Canis lupus familiaris: one gene and its partner. The protein of the gene in region 1 purifies or fractionates together with the protein of each later gene. This does not show direct contact. Links are inferred from orthologs where the notes say so. Each region holds a gene or a part of one and is shown on either strand. Other genes may lie near its edges.

What was found. Proteins that work in one complex are often made in the same cells at the same time.
Region 2: the proteins of CTCF (region 1) and RPL28 purify together in Homo sapiens (affinity purification with mass spectrometry; 3 studies listed by BioGRID and IntAct, with this or other methods). This does not show direct contact. The link is inferred for Canis lupus familiaris from reciprocal best matches to the Homo sapiens genes CTCF and RPL28.

The regions. Positions count from the first base shown.
Region 1 is NC_049226.1:82,392,833-82,398,178, reverse strand, and holds the end of CTCF (transcriptional repressor CTCF), read left to right. Parts: intron 1-1,278; coding exon 1,279-1,443; intron 1,444-2,629; coding exon 2,630-2,814; 3' UTR 2,815-4,150; downstream 4,151-5,346.
Region 2 is NC_049222.1:103,067,059-103,072,620, forward strand, and holds RPL28 (60S ribosomal protein L28), read right to left. Parts: upstream 3,553-5,562; 5' UTR 3,480-3,552; intron 3,277-3,479; 5' UTR 3,269-3,276; coding exon 3,188-3,268; intron 3,095-3,187; coding exon 2,971-3,094; intron 890-2,970; coding exon 771-889; intron 683-770; coding exon 593-682; 3' UTR 548-592; downstream 1-547. Other genes in the region: TMEM238 (transmembrane protein 238), read left to right, coding at 5,467-5,562.

The sequences.
Region 1 (5,346 bases):
CCAACCCCCACTCATGCTCACTCTCTTGCTTTCTCTCAAATAGATAAAACCTTAAAAAGACGGGGGGGCAGCCCTGGTGGCTCAGCGGTTTAGTGCCTGCCTGCCTTCCACCCAGGGCGTGATCCTGGAGACCTGGGATCGAGTCCCACATCAGGCTCCCTGCATGGAGCCTGCTTCTCCCTCTGCCTGTGTCTCTCTCTCTCTATCTATCTATCTATCTCTCATGAATAAATAAAATCTTAACAAAAAAGAAGTCTTTAAAAAAAAAAGAATGACCCATTGAACCTGGCATAGTTAAGAATTAAGTCCAAAATTTTGGCCTTAAAAAAAATCCTCAGGGGGCACCTGGGTGACTCAGTCGTTTGAGTGGCTTACTTTGGATTTCCACTCCGGTCATGATCTCAGAGTCCTAGGATTGAGCCCTACATCAGGCTCCCTCCTCAGTGCAGAATCTGCTTTATGATTCTGTCTGCCTCTCCCTCTGTTCCTCCCCCCCACCCTCCCAACCCCCCACCTCCACCCCCCAGTCTGTCTGTCTCAAATAAATCTTTAAAAAAAAAAGAAAGAAAGGCAGCCCAGGTGGCTCAGCAGTTTAGCACCGCTTCAGCCTGCGATGCGATCCTGGAGACGCGGGATCAAGTCCCACGTCGGGCTCCCTGCATGGAGCCTGCTTCTCCTCTGCCTGTGTCTCTGCCCCTCTCTCTCTGTGTCTCTCATGAATAAATAAAATTTTTAAGAAAAAAGAAAATATTAAAAAAAAAAAAAAAGAAAACCATCAGTTATAGTCCTAGGAACTTCTGTCTCTCTCACACACACACACACACACACACATACACACACATACACTTGCCTACTCAGAATCAATCAGGAGCACATCTTCAAGGGTCCTTAGGCTTAGTAACCTGCTTTATCCTTGCATAATAGAAGGAACATATGTTTTCAACTTAAACATTGGCATTGTTAGGTATCTGGAGCATGATGGATTTGCCGCTTAATTTGAAATTCAATATTTTAATGTCTAAAGCTAAGAGAAAAGAGTAATATAGGAATAGTAGTCTTCAGGTCAATTTACATATTATTATTAGCACAATACCAGTTTATTCTTTTCAAGGTAAATAGCAAAAATTTTCTAGCAAAAGTATTTTTAAACGGACTTCTTTGATAAAAATAAATACATAACTAGACTTAACAGAATATGTGGTTTTGTGTGGATGTGTCATATTTTTCTTCTACCATACTTTTCCCTGGCTCCCCACCTGTTATTTCTGATTTCATGAGAAGAAAATGCTGAGCCAGACCTGGATGACAATGAGGATGAGGAAGAACCTGCTGTGGAAATTGAACCCGAGCCAGAGCCTCAGCCTGTGACCCCAGCCCCACCACCTGCCAAGAAGCGGAGAGGACGCCCTCCTGGCAGAACCAACCAGCCCAAACAGAACCAGCGTAAGTTACTTGTCTCAGCTCAGTAGGCTGGAGGCTGGCACCCTCCCCCCAACATGTTGGAGGAGCTGGCCCAGGCCCTTGTTTTGGGGGATGATGGGAACTAAGCCTTGAGAACAAGTTAAGAACACCAGGAACAAACTGTTAGGAACTTACTATTTAGTTTTTACTGGAAACCACGTGAGGAAGACCCAGGGAGCCTATTCTGCTTCAGGGAGAAGTAGTCCAGAGTAGAAGGGTACTCCTGTTCTACAAGATGGGTACTTTTAATGTGGGAGGGTTTTTGCAAAACAATCAAAGTCCTATCCCCGCTGGCAGAAGTGATATGGTAATAAACGCAAAAAAGCCTAATTTTAAAGGAAGAAGGATAAAGCAATTTCTGTGCTATGATCCATTCTCCTAAGAATTACAGGCCTGTGGATTCAAGTGCTGGCCTTTTGATTTGGGAGAGGACACAGACAGTAGAGGTGTTTCTCACCACCTCACACTACAAATGGCAGTGGGCAGCAGTCTTGTATTGGCCTCGACCTTTGTGACAGCAGGCCCTGGGGCACTCGGGTCTGTGTTCTGCTCCTTGTTGCTGTGGATATCCTGAAAGCCGGCAGCGTTTTTCTTTAACAAATGCATGATTTAATCTAGTTTTTATTGTACTCCCGGAGTCTCATGTGTAGATAGATGTCTATTGCAGGGGAGCAGGGGGTTGGTTGACTATAGACTCTTGGAGCCATTTCACCTGCACACACCAGAATGAAATACTGGTGGAGGGCTCTGGGTGTGGGAGGCTTCAGGATCTGAGATGGCTATTCTTGCTATAGGCGGTTCATCTCTAACAGCCCTGCGCCACACACATGGTGAGGTATTCTTAGTCACATGCTTTCGGCGTCTTTTGCCTATCTCATACTAGTGCAAAGCTCAATTTTATGACATTAAGTAAAACTAATAAGGCCTTTAATATGGAATTTGGGAGGCATGTGAAGATGAATGTCAGCATTTAGTTTTTTGATAGTTTCTACCGTTTTGGGGCTTTATGAATGGCAGTATTTTCGATCATTACGTCGTTTTTTACTTGCTCTGCTGCTAAGACTTTCCTACACTGCTGACATTCATTTAGTTTCGAGTTTGACAGGACCCTTGCAATCTACAGGGGCTTTAATGGAGCATTTGTTTTGTTCATGCTCTTTCTTGCCAGCAACAGCCATCATCCAAGTGGAAGATCAGAATACAGGTGCAATTGAGAACATTATAGTTGAAGTCAAAAAAGAGCCAGATGCAGAGCCCGTAGAGGGGGAGGAAGAGGAGGCTCAACCAGCTGCCACAGACGCCCCCAACGGAGACCTCACGCCCGAGATGATCCTCAGCATGATGGACCGGTGATGGCGGGGCCTTGCTCATCGCCAAGACTGCTCTGGGCTGTGTTTAAACGGCCCGCATCTTAATTTTTCTCCCTTCTTTCTTCTTTTGGCTTTGGGAAAAGCATCATTTTACACCATTTTACCAAACATACTGCGAACTAAAACTTCAAGGATGATGTTAGAAAAATGTGATTTTACTAGAACTTGCTGTTTGATGTTAGCAAATCATGGAATGTTCTGAGTCCCCAAGGGTTTACTATGAAGTGCTGAGGACAGTCTTGATGCCTAACTGGTTTTCTTAGATGGAAACAGAGACATTGAACCCTCTCTCTTGCTATGGTAAACCACTCCAGAATGGCCACCGGGTTTCCCAGAGTTCTAGGTCTTCTTCCCAGGAGAGTTTTTAATTGTAAATGCAGACTGGGAAGGACTTACACTTTTAAACTGATTTTTGCTTCTGCTTCTCCCTGACTCCCTTTGCTCGGAGCCAGCTGCACACCAGTAGTACGGCATGCTGCAGTCGGTGTCTGTCCTGAAGGCTTTGCCTCTTTCTTGGCAAAGTTTCTGGTATGGTCAAGCTTGTAAATAACTTTTTTTACATTTTAATCTTTTCCATTAATTAAGAGGTTGAAAAGAAGTGCAGTGTAAGAAAACCCAGCATTTTAATTACTTGCAAATTAAGTTACCACAGACTCTGTAGTGTGTAAATGTTGACAAGGAATTGGATCACAATCATGTAGCAGAATGGCACCCAGACTGCTGCCCGCTAGTGATGGACACCCACGTGGAAGATCGTGATTTCCAGCCCATGGAGCCAGCATTTGAACCTTGTACAATTAACTTTCAGTTATGATTTCCCATCTACATTTTCTTTGCTCTGTTTGTAGCTGAATTTTGTGTTTTATGACTCCTCTGTTCAAGCAGAAGGGTGATTATGAGTGGGTCACAGCAGCCCTTAAAAGCTGGGCCAGAAAATTTCACTAGGTCAGTAATTTAAACTTTGGATCTGCAAAAAAAATAAAAATAATAAACAATAATAATGTGAAACAAAACCAACTAAAAAATGATTCTTGCACATGAACTGTCACATGTTTGAAATGTGTTTTTTAGAGAGCCTCAGTCTTGCTGATTTCAAACACTTTTTTCTTCTGTGTATTGCTTTTAAAAGAGCCATCAGTTAGCTATCAGACTCTAGGTTGATGCATTTTGTACTTAGCTGTACTGTGTGATATTTTTCATTATTTTAGGACGCCAACATGAGACCTGTAATAAAATATGTAATGGGGTTGAAAGCTGGGGAGGAGGATCTACTGCTGTACAGCTAATAAATCATAACGGATTAACAAGTGCTCCAGACACTCCGTCACGTGTGATCTATGCTTAATGGGGGCCCCAGAGGGTCCGCATGGCCTCGGGTGCAGGCCTGGTCGCCTTTCAGAGGCACACTCTGTTCTCAGAGGCCACTTCCTCTCGAGACAGCACTTGGAAGATGATCTTGGCAAATGGTGGGATTATTGAGTGAATCCTGTTGTGGGTTTCTAACTCCCCAAAGGGGTGAGTAGCAAGTGTGGATGAACGACTGCTCGCCCCGTGATCCGCCTTAGGAGTGGTCCCTGCGGCAGAAGGGTGACCAGAGGTTAGAGATGCAGGGGCTCGTGGGAAGTTCTGTCCTCTGAGGCTCAGTTCAGTGCAGTCTGAGATCTGTACGTTGAATTCTGCCAAGTGCAGGATGACAGGCGGGGCCCAGTTTGCCTCAGAGAAGCTCCTGTGGGAGGGAGGCCAGTGAGTCCGCGAGCTGCAGGGACAGAGCCCTAGACCGCAGAGCTTGTTCAGAGCCCTGCAGGGGCAGGTGCAAGGGAGTGGGAATAGGAAGTTGACGTGTTAGTGAAACACCTGCTGCTGCTGCTGCTGCTGCTGCTGCTGCTGCTGGCCATTTCTGGACAGAGAGCTTCGGCAAACCCATTTTAGGTAAAAGCTTCAGCCACTAATTCTAGGGCTTTTTGACCAGAATTCTGAATTGGTGGTTTCCAGTGTGAAGTAACAAAAGATAAGGTATGTGTGACCACTTGGCTGCTTGTCCTGTCCACGTAATCCCGTCTCCCAGGAAAACAGGTAACGAGGCCTCAAGACTCAGAACCTGGCAGTCCGCTATTTGGACCGAGTGTTAGTGGCCTGACGCTGAGTGTGGGGTTCTTTGTCTCACGCATGGGCCAGCCCCTTTGGAGGCCAGAGTTCCCCCCCCTACCGTGTTTTGGTGGATGTATATAATTTGCTTAATTTTTTTGGTGTTTATAATCTCCAAGGAACAGTAAGTTCTTTATCTCTTATCTTCAGCATAGCTTTTTGTTGTTAAGATTTTATTTATTCATGAGAGACTCATGAAAGGGGGGTAGAGACGTAGGCAGAGGGAGAAGCAGTCTCCCCTTAGGGAGCCTTATGTGGGAGTCTGATCCCAGGATCCCGGACTCACAACCTGAGCCAAAGGCAGATGCTCAACCACGGAGCCACCCAGGTGACCCCCCAGCATAGCTTTTTATCTCTCGTGTAAATGCAA
Region 2 (5,562 bases), on another chromosome or scaffold:
GCAGCCATGGGCAGCCCAGGGACTGTGAGGACCCTGAAGCTGCACCTATGCCCAAGACCCACAGCTTCCACTTCACACAGGGAGAGGTGAATATGCTCCTGCCCTGCTTCCTGCCGTCAGGGGCCCACAGCCCAGGCCTTGAAGTCCTAGATGGTACCCTGACACCAACAGGAAGTAGGCTGACCATTGGCCTGGATCCTCAGCCCTTAGTGTCAGGCTCTAAATGGTCTTTCTTGAGCTGTCAAGTGTTGTTGAAGACCTAGGACTGTGAGGACTGCAGTGGACTTTACCTGGTCACATGCACTAATCTGCTGCATGAACAGACGTGCATGAACACCTCTGACGTGTTCAACATAAGAACGTGGACCACGCCCAGTCCTGGGGGCAGAAATGGTGGGACAGAGCTCCCCCAACCTAGACCTGACCCCTCCAGCCCCAACAGTGTGAATCATATGGTAACACGGGTGGGGGACCACGCTGGGACAGGCAGCACCCACATGAATGCATAGGGGCAGAGCCCCAGGGCCACAGCGAAGGGAGGCCCAAGCCAGATGGTTAACATCTTTATTGCTCTGGGTACAGGGGCAAGTGCTCAGGAGCTCTTGGTGGGGCGGGCCCGCTTCCTCTTCACCATCACAGGCTTCTGACTGCGCAGGATAGCACTGGCTCTGCGAATGGCAGCCTGGAAGGACAAAGAAAAGGCTCAGCACACATTCCCACACCGCTTCCTGAGAGCAGCTCCAGCCCCACTGGTCAGAAGCCCTGCTTACCATGCGCAGATCCGGACGGTACTTATTCTTGCGGATCATGTGCCTGATGCTACTGAGGGTGGCCCGGGCATTCTTGTTGATGGTAGTTCGCACATAGGAGGTAGCGGGTTTCCGCTGGCCTGGGGCAGGGGATGGGGTGGCAGCAGCAGGGGTCAGTGTGATGGTGCAGTGGTACATGGGGGACCTGAGCGCCCCACAGCCAGCCCTGTCCACCCAGCCTTGTACCAGTTCACTCTTCTGTGTCCCTGACACAAGTTCATAAAGTCACTTCAAAGCAGCCTGGGTGGCTCAGCGGTGGAGCGTCTGCCTTCTGTTCAGATCATGATCCTGGAATTTCAGGATCAAATCCCACATTGGGCTCCCTGTGGGGAAACCTGATTCTCCCTCCACCTATGTCTCTGCCTCTCTCATGAATAAACAAACAAAATCTTAAAAAAAAAATTTAAATTTAAAAAAAAGGGAGGGGGCGGGAATCCCTGGGTGGCTCAGTGGTTTAGCGCCTGCCTTTGGCCCAGGGCATGATCCTGGAGCCCCAGGATGGAGTCCCACATTGGGCTCCCAGCATGCAGCCTGCTTCTCCTTCCCCTGTGTCCCTGCCCTCCCCCTCTCTTTCTATGTCTATCATGAATAAATAAAATCTTTAAGAAATAAAAAATAGGGCAGCCCTGGTGGCGCAGCGGTTTAGCGCCGCCTGCAGCCCAGGGCGTGATCTGGAGACCCTGGATCGAGTCCCACGTCAGGCTCTCTGCATGGAGCCTGCTTCTCCCTCTGCCTGTGTCTCTGCCTCTCTATGAATAAATAAATAAAATCTTAAAAAAAAAAAAAAAAGAAATAAAAAATAAAAAGGGAGGGGGGAGAGGAAAGCAAAACACTCTTGTCCAAGGTCACTGGCACACAGGCCACCTGCCTGCCTGACTCTAGGGCAGGAAGATGCTCACCCCACGCTGGTCAGGTTCGCAAGTACCTGTGAGACTGAAGCTCCAATCAAGCTGAGTCACAAGATGAGGCCAGGGTGAGCAAGAGCCCTGCAGCAAGCACCTGCCTGCCCATCCACAGGTGGAGTCTGGACCCCACTGCCTGTGGTTCAGAGGAAAGCACCCCTTCCTTGTGTGCAGAGCTGAGGGCCTCTGTCAGGATCTAAAGTAGAGCAGTCAACGAGGTCTTGGGGAGTGTCCTATGCCCCAAACAACAGATGTGGAAGGTGTTGCCCAAGAAACCAAGGACCCTTCACCACACCAGTGACTTTAAACAATGCCAGTTCCTGGGGCACCTGGGTGGCTCAGTGGTTCAGAGCGTGATCCTGGGATGGACTCCTGCATTGGGTTCCCTGCACAGAGCCTGCTTCTCCCTCTGCCTATGTCTCTGCCTCTCAGTGTCTCGTGAATACATAAAATCTTTAAAAAACAATGCCAGTTTCTGATAGTCCGGAAGAGACCACCCAACAACCTGACAGGGAAGTGAGGGCTTCAGGGCACAGAGCAGCAGCATGGGGTTCTCAGGAGCACAACAAGAACCCTGGATGCTCACTGGTGGGCTGAGAAAGAGTAACCCCCCTTCAGGGTGGGCAGGAGTCCAATCAAGAACCAGCATGCCACAGCCACTGCTGTCCCTGCCCTGGGCAGTAGGCTCCAAACCCAAACAGAAAACAGCCCTCAACAGAGTTCAGGAAAAACCTTGCTCCCATCTTTTAAAATACCCCAGCAAAGGGATGCCAGGCTGACTCTAGATGAACATTTGCCTTTGGCTCAGGTTGTGATCCCAGGGTCCTGGGATCGAGTGCCATATCGGCGCCCCCCAACAGGGAGCCTGCTTCTCCCTCTATATATCTCTGCCCTTCTCTCGTGAATAATGCTTTTAAAAATAAATAAATAGAAGACGTAAAATCTTAACCAAAAAACCACCCAGCAAAGAACAAAGGTGAGGAACTGTGATGCCTCTGGTCTACACAACACCTGCCTCTGAAGCTCTCCAGTCCCCCTGACCCTCTGTCACACGAAAAGCCTGTCCAGTAGGAGTGGGACGCTCGGGACGTCTCCGAATGCACTCGGCGGCTGAGGGGTCAAACTACTGCAGCGCTGCACGGATACCTAGCCTGCTTCAAGCACTTTGCCGCGCTAGGTCGCGCCGTCCAGCCCCTGAGCACCCCTCCCCCTGGGGTGGACCGCCGCCCGATCCCAGCCCCGCCCCGCCGGGGGCTCACCTGATCTCCGCTTCAGGACCACCACCACACCCTTGCCGTCGGCCGCCGGCTCCACGCCCACAGTCTTGCGGTGAATCAGACCGTTGTAGCGGAAGGAGTTGCGAGCTTTCAGGTTGTTGGGCTCCTGGGAAGGGAAGGGGGCGCAGCGAGGCCGTGAGGCGGGAAGGACCCCGGCGATGGCGGCGGTTGCCTCCCCGCGCCCGGGCGCCCCGCTTACCGTGCTGTACGTCTGCTTGTTCCTCTTGATCAGGAAGCTGGAGCAGTTCCGCACGACCATCCACTGCAGGTGAGCGGACATGGCGGCTGCTGCGGGGAGAGAGAGCAGGGGAGGGCGTCAGAGGCGAGCCGCGGGCCGGGGCTGGGCCCGGGACGAGGGGAGAACACGAGATGCCGCGGCGAGCTCCGGCGGTGGGGACGGGGGGGCGCAGCGCCAGAGGCCAGGCAAGGGCCGGCAGAGGCCGCGGGCAAGCGTCGCAACCACGCGGGAAGACGGAGGACCGCGCGCTCACCTCCTTTCCTTACGGCAGCGAGAGACGGAAAGAGGCAAGTAGAAGACCCGGCGACGCCTTTAATTCCAAACGCATTTCCGCTTCCTCTGTGGGCACGCGCTTGCCCTCGCCTGTCCCCGCCTCCTCCCTTCCGCCTCCGAGGCGGCTCGGTAACGTTCGGCCACTTGCGCCGCCTCGTCGCCAACCGTTCGGAGAGTTCCGGACTTCTTCGGCTGGTGACCCGAGGGCGTGTTCTCGGAGCCTGAGCGCCACTGTTCCGAGGGTCCTTCGTGTGTTTTCGGAACTCCAGCGCTGGATTTCCGAGTGGGTCCAGTTCGAGAGGCCCGAAGTCCCTTTCCACAAGGGTTTCTCTCCAGGATTGCTCACCAGCGCTGAGCACAGGATAGGCACTCAATAAACATTCATTTTATGAATAAACGTGAGAATCCGTGAATTACTTAAGGCTAGCTCCAGGGTCTTTGGATACTTCCGGTCTTCTTCGTAAGCTCTCGGCTATTTCCGATGGAGGCACGGAGGCCCGATCGGGCATTTTCGGAACTCTCCGGAAAGGCTCTTTCGCGGGCTTACCGCCTTCTCTTATTGGCGCAAGCCCTTTCGGGTCTGTTCGGAAACACTCGGCTTTTATCGGCCACATTCGGAATTCCGTGGCTAATCCCCGCTGACCTCTCGGGTTGCCCTCCCCGCGATGCTCTCAAACGCTTTATTTTTTTTTTTATTTTTTTTTTTTTTATTTATTTATGATAGGCACACAGTGAGAGAGAGAGAGGCAGAGACACAGGCAGAGGGAGAAGCAGGCTCCATACACCGGGAGCCTGACGTGGGATTTGATCCTGGGTCTCCAGGATCGCGCCTGACGTGGGATTTGATCCTGGGTCTCCAGGATCGCGCCCTGGGCCAAAGGCAGGCGCTAAACCGCTGCGCCACACAGGGATCCCTCTCAAACGCTTTAGAATCTAGAGAGATTCCCGCGGGACGGAATCTTTTCGCCGACTGTCACCCCGGGAGGGCGTAGATTACCTCTAAGGGCGAGTCGTTTGCAGGAGAAGAGATTTGCATGGGGAAGTTGTTGGTTCCTTCAGAGGGTCCTACCTGTTGGCCTCTCCCGGCCCTCCCCGTCCAGTGTGCCCGCTGTGGCACCCCTTAAACTTATGGAAGTTTCTTTTCTGTGGTCGCGGCCCTCTTCGGGGGCGGGAGCCCTGCCTGACATACCTCGGGATCTCCGGCCTCGCCAACACGGGGCTCAAGGAACAGTGGCTTTATGTTGCCCCCCCCCGCGCCAACCCCCAGTGCACCTTGATCTGTGGTAGTGTCGGGGTCCCCGTCTGGCTTCGTTCCCAGAGAGCCCCAATGGTGCAGAGGCACTAGGAGAAGTGCAGGGTACTGCCCTGCTGCCCCCTGTAGAGCACCCACATCTGGAGGTGGTGCACAGTGCAGGAAGGACCATCCACTCCATGCCTCTCATGCAGCCGCACGGGCCGCCCCACGGCACAGGCAAAGAGTGGGAGAAGGCTCAGCTCCCAGGAGTCCCATGCTTCCTCTGCCTGCTGATTCTTTGGGTCCCGGGACTTCTTGAGGTCCAAGAGCCTCGTCGGATTCTTGTTTTTGACCCCACCTGTCCCCTCTGTGGGGTCTGGTACATACGGGGCCCCTGAAGGTAGGCACTAGGCAGAGATAGCCTCCTGCTGGACGCCCCACGCTACCTCCATTCGGACACCCTGAATTCTGAACATGTTCCTTAGCCTCCTTCGGGTGCATAAGGCCCCTCCCACCCTGATCAGTGAGGCTGGCAGCCCTCAGCATAGGCCTCTGAGGGCCAGGACGTGCCCAGAAACCAGGGTCAGGGCACCCCCAGGTCGGGCCCGTCTGCCCCCCAGCGTGGTCAGGTGACCAGGCGGGCGCCCGGCACACCTGGCGCCGTCCCTTGACCCCGCCCCGGGCCGCACCCCAGAACTCTCTCCGAGAGAGCCAGCGCGGCGGAGCAAGGGCCATGGCGGCGGCGCCGGCGGTGGGCGCCCCGCAGGGGTCCCCGCCGGGTGCACAGTCCCCACCGGCTGGCGCGCCGGTGCCCGCGTCCGGTCTGGGC